Linked DNA regions of Danio rerio. The protein of the gene in region 1 purifies or fractionates together with the protein of each later gene. This does not show direct contact. Links are inferred from orthologs where the notes say so. Each region holds a gene or a part of one and is shown on either strand. Other genes may lie near its edges.

Region 1 (5,329 bases):
GTCCTTTGTTCATTTGTTCGTTCCTTCCTTCCTTTCTTAGTTTGTTCAGTTCTTCCTTGAACACTTTATTCATTTAGTCCTTTGTTCGTTTATATTTTTGTTACTTTCTTCATTAGGTCCTTTGTTCTGTTCTTCCTTTATTCATTTGTTCATTTCCACCTTCCTTCATTCCTCCCTTCATTTGTTCGCTCATTCATTAATTCTTTTGTTCATAATTTTTCCTGATTCTTTCTTTAGGTCCTTTGTTCATTCATTTGTTTGTTCTTTCCTTCCCTCTTTCCTTCTTTTCCTTCCTTAGTTTGTTCAGTCCTTCCTTGAATTCTTCCTTCATTTTTTTAGTCTTTTCTTCCTTCATTAGTTCAGTCCTTCCTTTGTTCAGTTCGTCCTTCCATTTTTTATTCGTTCCATTTAGCGATTGTTTAAAGCTGTTTGGTGATTTCAGTCATCATACAGACGACATTCTTTTTTATTAAAGTTGACATTTATTTTCTCATCAGTGATGCCCAGTGTATTAAAAGTCTGTGCGTCAATGTGGGTAAATATTTTGAACATCTTCTGGGACATTTTTAATGCTTCCAAAGGGTTTGCTGCATTTAGAAAACGCCCACGTGTTGATGTTGTTCATTATTATGCGATTTACTTTCTATGTGTGATTTAATTGGACAAGAATCACAGAACTATTTTTTTCTACTTTAGCCAATTCCCATGGACAAGAAAGAAATAAAGTAGTGACTGCAGGTTGAAGCAAAGAAGTAAAAGTACCGATACTGCACTAAAAATGTACTCAAGGGACAGTAAAAGTACACATTTATAAAACTTCTTGGTAAATTACAATTTCTGAGAAAAATTACTCAATTTTCAGTAATTTGAGTATTTGTAATTAGTTACTTTACACCACTGCTACCTAACTGTGTTTATGTACTCTGTTTAGGTAAGAATTCGACATTTATAAATGTACAGCAGGGGTGCTCAAACTTGGTCCTGGAGGGCCGGTGTCCTGCATAGTTTAGCTCCAACTTTCCTTAACCCACCTGCCTGGAAGTTTCTAGTATACCTAGAAAGAGCTTGATTAGCTAGTTCAGGTGTGTTTAATTGGGGTTACACCTAAAAAATGGAGGAAACCGTCCCTCAAGGACCGGGTTTGGGCACCCTTGATGTACAGTATTTAATTCAAATAACTTCTTCAAATATACCCACCCAGAGACCTGAAAATGATAGTGACACTAAATGGTGACACCCTTTTTGAACACTTCTCCATTAGTTATCTGTATAAAACATACTGTATACAGTCCTGTCTGTGGGGGCAGCATGAATACTGATAAACATGTTACAGTCCTAAAACCAAAATGTGACCTAATGACTTAAAGTTTCAATTTTATATTTTATATAATGAGCAAATAAAATAGTCTAATTTATTATTTTGCTGATTTGTACATTATGATTTGTACTTCATAAATATTGACTTGTGCATAATACTAAACGCCTCTAAACGTATTTTATGTTGTTTTTTATACATCTTTTCTCAATTATTTAAAATGAAAACACAATTTATTAATCGTAACTTGGCTAACAAGCCAACAAATACACTTAAAGAGCTAAGAAAGAGTTTACCTTTTCCTTTTCATTTCCTAAATACAGTTAAATGGATACCAGTGCACTATTTTGCACCACAAACCTGTAATAAATTGATATGGTGTCTGTATCTAAGCTTAGGTTCAAATGTTTAGTACTTTTACAGTACTGAGATCTAAATAAATAAACAGGATGACTACCGTGCAAAGGGGAAGCGGTCTAATTGAAAATATAACCCGAGAAAGTGATATGAAAGCGGTAATTAGACATTTATACACTGGTAACAGATGTTCTTATTGTATTGGGTGGTATTAATAAACATATATTAGACATTTAATACACATGAACCATTTTTTATTCTCTTTATTTACATATATACCTACGCACGCTCCACCCTCAGACGCAGTGGGTGGAATCCAGTATAATCAACCAATGAGAACATGTCAACACAGCTTTTGTAGCGCTCCGTCTAATCAGAATTTAGCGCGGGCGTGTCTTTTGTAATACGTTTTTTCGACGTCACGAGCATCATCGTCCAATCGGGTTTCCCGTGGCGTCGACACCGCCAAGCTCAGTTTTACAGACCTAGAGAGGGAGCAGGTTCTACTGTGCGCTCCTATTCATTCTACGCTAGACAGTTGAAGGCGGATGCAACCGACCGTAAGTGAGACCAGGGGGGGCTCCGAGTCCACACAGACAGCTTTGAGCGATGTTTTCCGTTTTTATATATCACCAGTGCATAAAGAAGCTGTCTTTTATCTGCGCTTGTAATAATTTAACACAAAATAAGTGCGTTTGACAGCAAACTCGTTCTAAAACAACAGCGTGCGACTGTATGCAGTTGTACATCTGCTATCTGAGGCCGTTAGTCTGTTAACCATCAGTCCTGATTCATTATCATATAGGTGAAATATTAAAACTGTCTGTCTCAGATGGCTTGTGTTAGCCAACATGCTAAGCCATGTCAAGTGTTTCTGTCAGTGTAGTGCAATAGAAAATCGTCCCTGATCTTTACCGATCGTACAAAAAAGCATTGGCAGGCAAAACTGGACGTGTAATAAACAATAGTAAGGGGATCGTAGATTGATTATGATAAAGCTGTCGAGATGACCTCGATTTGAGTGGAAGTTAGCTTGACGTTACTAGCTCGCCTGGTCGCTAGCTTAACAGTTTTATTTTAATTCGCTTTAAAGCGTGTTTTAAAGACTTTTGAAACTAAAGAAACAGTTGTTATTGTTACTATCGCATAAGCACGAGGATTTTGTTCAATTAATAAGTAGTTTTTGACGACAGAAGGACCTGTCACCTCAGCTAGCATCACTGCATGTTGGCTTTGCTTTAGCAACCATGTAAAATGGCTGCCAGGCATTAAACCAAAACCATCCTGTTTGTTCAATTAGTTCATGAATGTTTGCAAATAATTATGTCCCATTATGAACGGCTATTTTCCGTTTTTAGAGTATAATCGGTTGTTTAACTTGTGTTGCTGTTGAAGCCAACGAATTCTGTGACCCTCCAGCTGAATAGGTGTTGTGACTGTCAACTGTGTTGCTTAATAATGTGGCCGTTTATATACATATATTTGCTTAAGATTATTCTTTATTAAACTCTATATAATATATATTGATAATTTTAGTTCTTTTATTTGGAATTATTTATAGGGATTTACAGTTTGCATGCGTCTTGTATGTGCATGCTTAAAACATCCGCATCCATTTTGAGGTTTATGAATGTGCCATGATCTAACAATCAAACATCTCCCAAGTGCAAGCTCGTTTCAAAAGCACGCTCATTCACCGCACATGGGTTTTTATTTTTCATATTATTTGATTTATTTTTGTTTCCTGTTTGAGAGATGGGCTTCAGACCTCCTCTTCCTCTGTCCTCTTGCTAACTGGCTATGCCAACAAAAACAGCACCTAAGAAGGCAAAGGGCTTCAGGACTGTAAGTTCAGAGGAAAGTTTACAGACTTCATTTCCAGATGGCCATTTAAGTCCGATTCGTTTGCAAAACGGTACGAGCACATGCACAATACCCGATCTGCTCGCATTTAAACACGAGAAGCACGTTTTGATCACAATTAGGACCAGGGTTCGTTGCAAAACGTGTTTGAAAGGCTGCTAGCTAACTGGGCTAACACGCTTTATAATAGTGCACACTGCTTCGATTGTGCATTATGTTTGGAGCGGAAAAAGTAAACGAATGAAGCAGATTATCGTTCTGCTTGATGCGTTTACACGCTTTTTTATTACTTGAGACACTTGATATTTTTGTATTTAAGGGCCCTTTCCTTTTGCAAGAAAAGTTACTCAAAACGACAGGAACTGTTGCATATGGATGTTTTTCAGGATATTGCACGAGGGGTTTGGGTGTAGGAGTTCGAGATTTGATGTTAAAGAGATGATACGATTCGTCGAGGTCTTTGTCTGGTAATAAAAGCTGCATGAGAGCTGGCGGGCCTCGTTTTCATCAACCATGACAGTGTTTCCAAACCTTGTGAGCGTCCTACCTAGACAGCATTTTAAAAATTGCGACTTCTTTAGCAAACACCGAATCGAACTAACTTTGAATTCACACAGTGCTTGAAAGTGTTTGGGTCTCATCTCAATACACTTGTGATGTTTTAATCCACATGTAAATAATATCATCAAGTAAAACATCTTGGCTAAACACTGCATTGAGATGTTAATATATAAACATTCGTGTAAACTTGTATTGTTTAGGCTTGTGCTAAAGATGTAAGGGTGTGTTCATTGACACTTGGTGGGTTTGGTTTGATTAGAATTATCTCTGGTGCAGTTGCTCTGTTGGATCATTTGAATAAGTGTGAACGCTGCCATGGTTGTGGACCAAACAAGCAGACCATCACTGCTGGAAAAATAGGTTTTGGCATGATTGCGATGCAACACAATATACTTCCTTGCAAACTAAAACATGTCACAATATGTGACCACAAAAAAGACAGTGCACTATCATACATATATTTTTAGAAGAAATACTGCTTCTTATGGTTGAGTACAGGTTTTGAAAAGGAGTCTTCTTGCAATCAAAGTTCTTAATGTCACAGTTTTGACTCCTTTAGCCTTCATGTTTTATAGGCTTTCCACTATAAGTGTGTTTAGCCCAGCACACAGCAATGTTTTGGATGTTCTCTTACAAAATATGTAATTTTTGTATTAAATGTTTATTTCTCTAACACTTTTACATTGTAGATTGTGTCAAAGCAGCTTAACATAGAAATTCTAGTAAATTGAAACCGTGTTAGTCTGGATTTCACATTTGAAGTTCAGTTCAGGGTGGTTTAAATTTTACTACTGAAAGTCCAAACACTGAAGAGCAAATCCATCAATGCACAGCTCCACAAGTCCCAATCCAAGCAAGCAAGCCAGTGAAGATGAACAAACTTCACCAATTGACGAAAGTGAAGGAAAAAAACCTTGAGGAACCAAGCTCAGCTGGGCTCCACCATTTCTTTTCTGACCAAACTTTTTTTTTTTAACAGTTTTTGTTTTAACAGTTAGCAAATTAGGACTAAGTGTAGCATTTACTATTTTGACAGACCACACAACCCAACCAAGAGATCTGAACTACAAATGTGAACACACCCTAAATATGTTAACCCTTTTAAATTAAAACCCTCTTTTGATGCCTAGTTATATCCCTGTGATGAAATTTAGATGCGTCAACATAATCAATTCATATTATTCTGTTGGGATGGGTGATTAATTATAAATTAATCTAAATCTACATTCATAA
Region 2 (5,112 bases), on another chromosome or scaffold:
TGTGCAAGTAGGCAGAACGAAAGTGTGCTCACTCAGTTGGCTAGTAAGACTACCACACACAGACGGCACTCACGCATTTGCTCTGGGTGGGGGAAACTAAATAATACATATATTTCATATCAAAGCCTCTTGCAATTAGCTAATTGAAACATTTCAAATTGCGATTTGATTAATCACAGAGCCCTACCATGTGGAGTGTGTCATTTCCAGAAATTCTTAAAATGTAAATAGGAAAAAGCAAGGCCACATAAGATGATGATGATGGAGAAACATTTTGAGTTGATCAACTGATGTACCAAACCACAAGGCTTTTAGCATAATCTATGTAGGAGTTTATGAGGCATATGCATCAATCCTTCATGCAGACGCCCATTCTGTTATCAGCTCTGCCCCATATTTTACAGTGTGAGTCTGTGATCATTCTTTTTTTTATCAGCTGGAAGCAGCGAGTGACACAGAGAGAGCTTTGAGATGGGCATTTTCCTGAAGCAGATACCCTGACCTACTTGACCTTTTCAACAGGTTGAGCTCATGCAAGGACAAATGGTGAGACAGGTGTACGAAGGTGCATGTAAAAAGAGGAGTGTTAATTACAACAGCAAATACATAATCGAAAAAGCTGTACAATCCAGGACCACACAACTACAGGAATAACCAGTTTTGGGATGAGTGGAATGAACCTCGTTCATTTGATGCTGTGACTTTAAGGGAGCATTCATTCAGCATGTTTTATCGATTGCTAAATATAAAAGGTTTTGTATTTGGATAAGTTTACCTTTTAATACCCTTCCCCCATTTTACTATTAGGCCCGAACCATATATTATAATGTCCGGTTCAGAAGCTGTAAAGCACCCTTCCCCCTACCATCAGCTTCTGCTACCTCCCCCCTGAAATAACCCTCATATGGCAAGCCAAACCAGCATTTACTCCTTTACTACAGTAGTTACAGATTTAAAATAGATCAAAATAAAGTTATTTTTTTCAAAACTGTTCACAGTTTTAGTTCAACTTTGATGAAATGTTTTGATCCACTTCAAATGTCGACTAATGTTATGGTTTTCACGTCATGTTTTTTCTATCAGTAAGTGATGCAAAAAGTAATTGCAAATTTTTTAATTTTAATCTTTACCTATATAAGACTAGTGTAATATACTAAGTATTTCACTACGTTTATTCTGATGTCAACTACTTTTTAATGGTAACCAGTACTTCTTTATTTGCTAGTTCAAACAGTTCAAACAGTTGACATGTATTGTTTGAACATCAGAACTGCCATAGATAAATTAGCTAAAACAAAAAAACAATCAATACAACTTCATAAGCCTTGACCGCATATTTAAAATTACATAAAATGGGGTTGTTAGTAATGTACTTACAGACTGTGTCCAAAATTGCACACTTCCACACTATATAGTACGCTAAAAACAGTATGTGAGCGGAGTAGTGTGTCTGAATTCATAGAATGCTAAAAACTTGCGAGAAGTATCCAGATGACCTACTACTTCCGGAAAGATTCTGAAGTGCGCATCCAATGATGCTACACTATCCCATTATGCTTCGTGAGAGAATTCATGAATGGAACAAAAGAGACACAACTGATGTGGGTAGGCCACATGATGATAACAAAATGGTGGATGTAGTACAATTGAGTTCAATTCATACTGCTTACATTCATGCTGCATAGAATGGGCTTTTCTAACGGTCGAGTAGTACGTTTAAATTCAAATGCAGTACCTACTGAGTGGTAGGCGATTTCGGATATCGTCTGTCTTTTATGATGCATGCAAAGTTTTAGACAACTTAAATATCAGTTTTATGGAGTTGCGTGCTAAAAGTTTTCTTTTAAACCTGTTTCTTCATCTGAACAACTGGAAAGTTAAATCACTAATTCACTTTATTTGTGTCGTATGTACAGGTAAGTTTTTTTTAAAATATAGAGAAACTGACTCAATTACATCATTCCCAATTCTTCACAGTGTGGATTGGGCTAAATATCTTACTTAATTAGCTGTGGTTCTCTGATTGGTGGAATTGTCTGCACAGCATCATGGGAATTATAGTGTTTCTGGACAAACTCTGAAATTTAACAATTGTTTTAGAATAACACAAATAATACAAGATATTTATAAGTTATTTAACAAGGCTTTAACAAAATCATATACAAATCGATTAATAACTTCTGAGCCTACAAAAGGTTTCTTTTTCTATTAGTTATTGATATAAAATCCATTTCTCCAGGGATAATATAGTTATTATTTTTAACCTATGCATTATTCCTCACAAGTATTCGCTCCTGTCAGAACGTAAAAATAATACTGTGACTGAGCAAAACACTATTTTATGTGCTATTTTGAATGTGAGACAAACACAACAGAAAGTTGAGCAGTTTAAGATATAAATGGCTTGCCACACACTCTCTTGGCTAAAGGTCCTGTCTGTCCTAATGTCATGACTTAAATATAAACGTAAGTTTGTGGCCATCCTCTCCAATGACTGGCCTGTTTAATTCATTTATGAGGAACTGACAGATATTCAGTACATCAGAGATGATGGCACAGATAAAATCCTTCCGCGAAGCCAGAAAAAGAAGCTTTAGTGTTGTAGAAAGCAGAGAACTACAGTGTGACTGTATCTGCGTTTTAGTAAATACCACATTCATGTTATAAGACGAGAAACAAAGATTTAGAGGGCAAACATTCGCATATATGGCGCTGTAGTATGAGCAGAAATGGGGGTGGAAAGAAGCATACCGGTAGCCGCCCGGAAGAAGTCCGCACCGGCTTAGGCTCGGGCCCGTGGGGGGTCGCATACAAACAGTTGGGTCTCTGCTCCACAGCTGTCGTGTTCCCGATCTGAGTGAAGTATCCAGCCGGTACCGAATTCATCGGTGGACTCGCCAGTCCCGTGGTGAAAAAGTCCGTCCTCATCGCGGTGAACATTTTCTTCTGCGGGCACGAGAGCCCAGATCCTGCGCCTCTTCCCGAAGCAGGAGAAATCCCTCTGGGTATCCGCATCATTTTGCGCACGGAATGCAAAACCCGCGAAAGTGACGCAAAAGAAACTCTTTTATTACGCAAATTGCGTTTGTAGTTCACTGCAGAACCAATCAAGCGTTAATGAATACGTGTATCTTAAAACAATGCTAATGCTACAAGCGATAGTTGTATAATAGTATATTGCAATATTAGTATAATAAATAATGTTAAGTTGCAGATAAATTACGTGTGAAAATAAGAAAATATAATCATCCGAGTTGCACAAAGTATCCCAGGGTCCTTTGTTGTTGTAGCACAGGAGAAGCTATTCTGTTTTGTTATAATGAAAATAACTTAAACATATACTACACGCACAATGCTTGATAAAACTACCTTTCAATGATAAGTAAAGCTTCAAAATGTTCCTCTCGCAGTTATCGAGTAAAGCCAGCGACCGTGAGAAACGTCCCTGTGTGTCTGTAATCCTTCTCCAGCAGAAAAGCTTTGCTTTGACATCAGCTCAACAGAGGAGTGCTATTTTAGCGCCAAATTACGTCCCGCGAAATTTGGATCTCCCGCGGTTGGAGGCGCGCAGCGATTGGCTGCTGGCACGCCGCTCTCATTCGTATTCTGAATATATTTACATGTAACAGTTGGCGCCCAGCGTTCTTCCTCTTAAAGAGACAGCGCCTTTTCAGTCTCTTTTGTGAACAGGGAAATTTTCCCCCAAACTACAACAAAACAACAGCGGCCTATTGGCCTATTCAGACCTATTGTAGTCATATTTAGATTTAGCACAAATATACGTTTGACATTTATACAAATATGACGTCATATCGCATAAAATATAGGTTTGTTCTTTGAAAAATCACCATAAAACCCTCAATATTAAAGCATTTGGCTTGATAAAATAAATGATGATTTTGAAGGATGGCTTTATAGCAGGCCCATTGTGTTTTCTAATGAATCAATGTCATGAATTAATCTTAAACGTCAATGTTTTTAAACAACTAAATGGAAAAATGGTTGACTTCGGCGTGGCCTGTCTGTTTGAAAAGAGATTTAAAGAGAAAACAAGAGCTTTAAAGGCCGTAAACAACTCCACAGAAAAGAACCTATACACTTGAAAGGATCTTATCATTTTACACAAAGAGTAACCCCTGCCATGCTTCAGATGATTGTTGAGTCTCTCCCACCAAACTATTTGCCCAATGATGACTTACAGTGTTTAGAAGAGGTGCAGTCCTTTTCTTTCAAGCTGTACTTTGGGGCAAAAATGAACATATAGTTTAACTAATGAGAAATGTTTGATTTGATTTATTTAATGAAATATAGGCCTGCTTAGGTATGGGATTAGTGCCTTTACAGTCTAGTTGTATTGGATATCAGATATCCCTTATGAAAAAAAAAATACTATCGTAATTTATAATTTTAATAAATGCAATCAATATAATATAGTTTCCATACTATAGTAAAGTACTTCAATGAATCTGTTGTGGCAATTATATTGTGCCTGTGGTAATACAGCAACTAACATTATAAACAAAAACAATACTGTAGTTTTTCTAACACTAATACCCTATATTGTACTGCAATGCACCACAGTTTACTGTAGTGAAACATAAAAGCTACTACAGTATTTATTGCTGTGCATGCGGTAGGATTTATTAACAAAATATTGTAAATGTATGGTTAAATGGTCTATAGAATTGACAAGCAGATGGTCTTAATAATATAACATAAGAATCTTACGTAAGTGAAGTCACCTTTCACCACTGACCTACTGTATTGTTTTAAATAGAGAAAACATTTTACAAGTAACTGTTATTCTAAATCTTGGACCATATTCTTGAAAGACAAACTCATCAATGAAAGGTGTGAAGCACCAAAAGTACATTTTGAAGCCTATAAAAATTAATTTTAATGACAAATAGGCAATTTTTGTTATTCAGGAAATATCTTACTTTTTTACAAGAGAAGCTAGAAAAATCATTATCATCATTATTATTATTATTACCATTATGCATATTTTTTTTTATCATTCAAGTTGCCAAATTTTGACTGAGAAAAGTTGAATGTGCCGGCCAGCTTTTAATTTGCTTGATACTTTGCCTTAATAGGCAGTCTTTAATTTAA

The links. The genes of interacting proteins can lie anywhere in the genome.
Region 2: the proteins of tfdp1a (region 1) and e2f2 purify together in Homo sapiens (affinity purification with mass spectrometry; 3 studies listed by BioGRID and IntAct, with this or other methods). This does not show direct contact. The link is inferred for Danio rerio from reciprocal best matches to the Homo sapiens genes TFDP1 and E2F2.

What each region holds. Positions count from the first base shown.
Region 1 is NC_133184.1:36,641,044-36,646,372, forward strand, and holds the start of tfdp1a (transcription factor Dp-1a), read left to right. Parts: upstream 1-2,144; 5' UTR 2,145-2,232; exon of another isoform or gene 2,233-3,587; intron 3,588-5,329. UniProt on the Homo sapiens protein: Can stimulate E2F-dependent transcription.
Region 2 is NC_133192.1:28,749,101-28,754,212, forward strand, and holds the start of e2f2 (transcription factor E2F2), read right to left. Parts: upstream 3,491-5,112; 5' UTR 3,019-3,490; coding exon 2,752-3,018; intron 1-2,751. UniProt on the Homo sapiens protein: Transcription activator that binds DNA cooperatively with DP proteins through the E2 recognition site, 5'-TTTC[CG]CGC-3' found in the promoter region of a number of genes whose products are involved in cell cycle regulation or in DNA replication.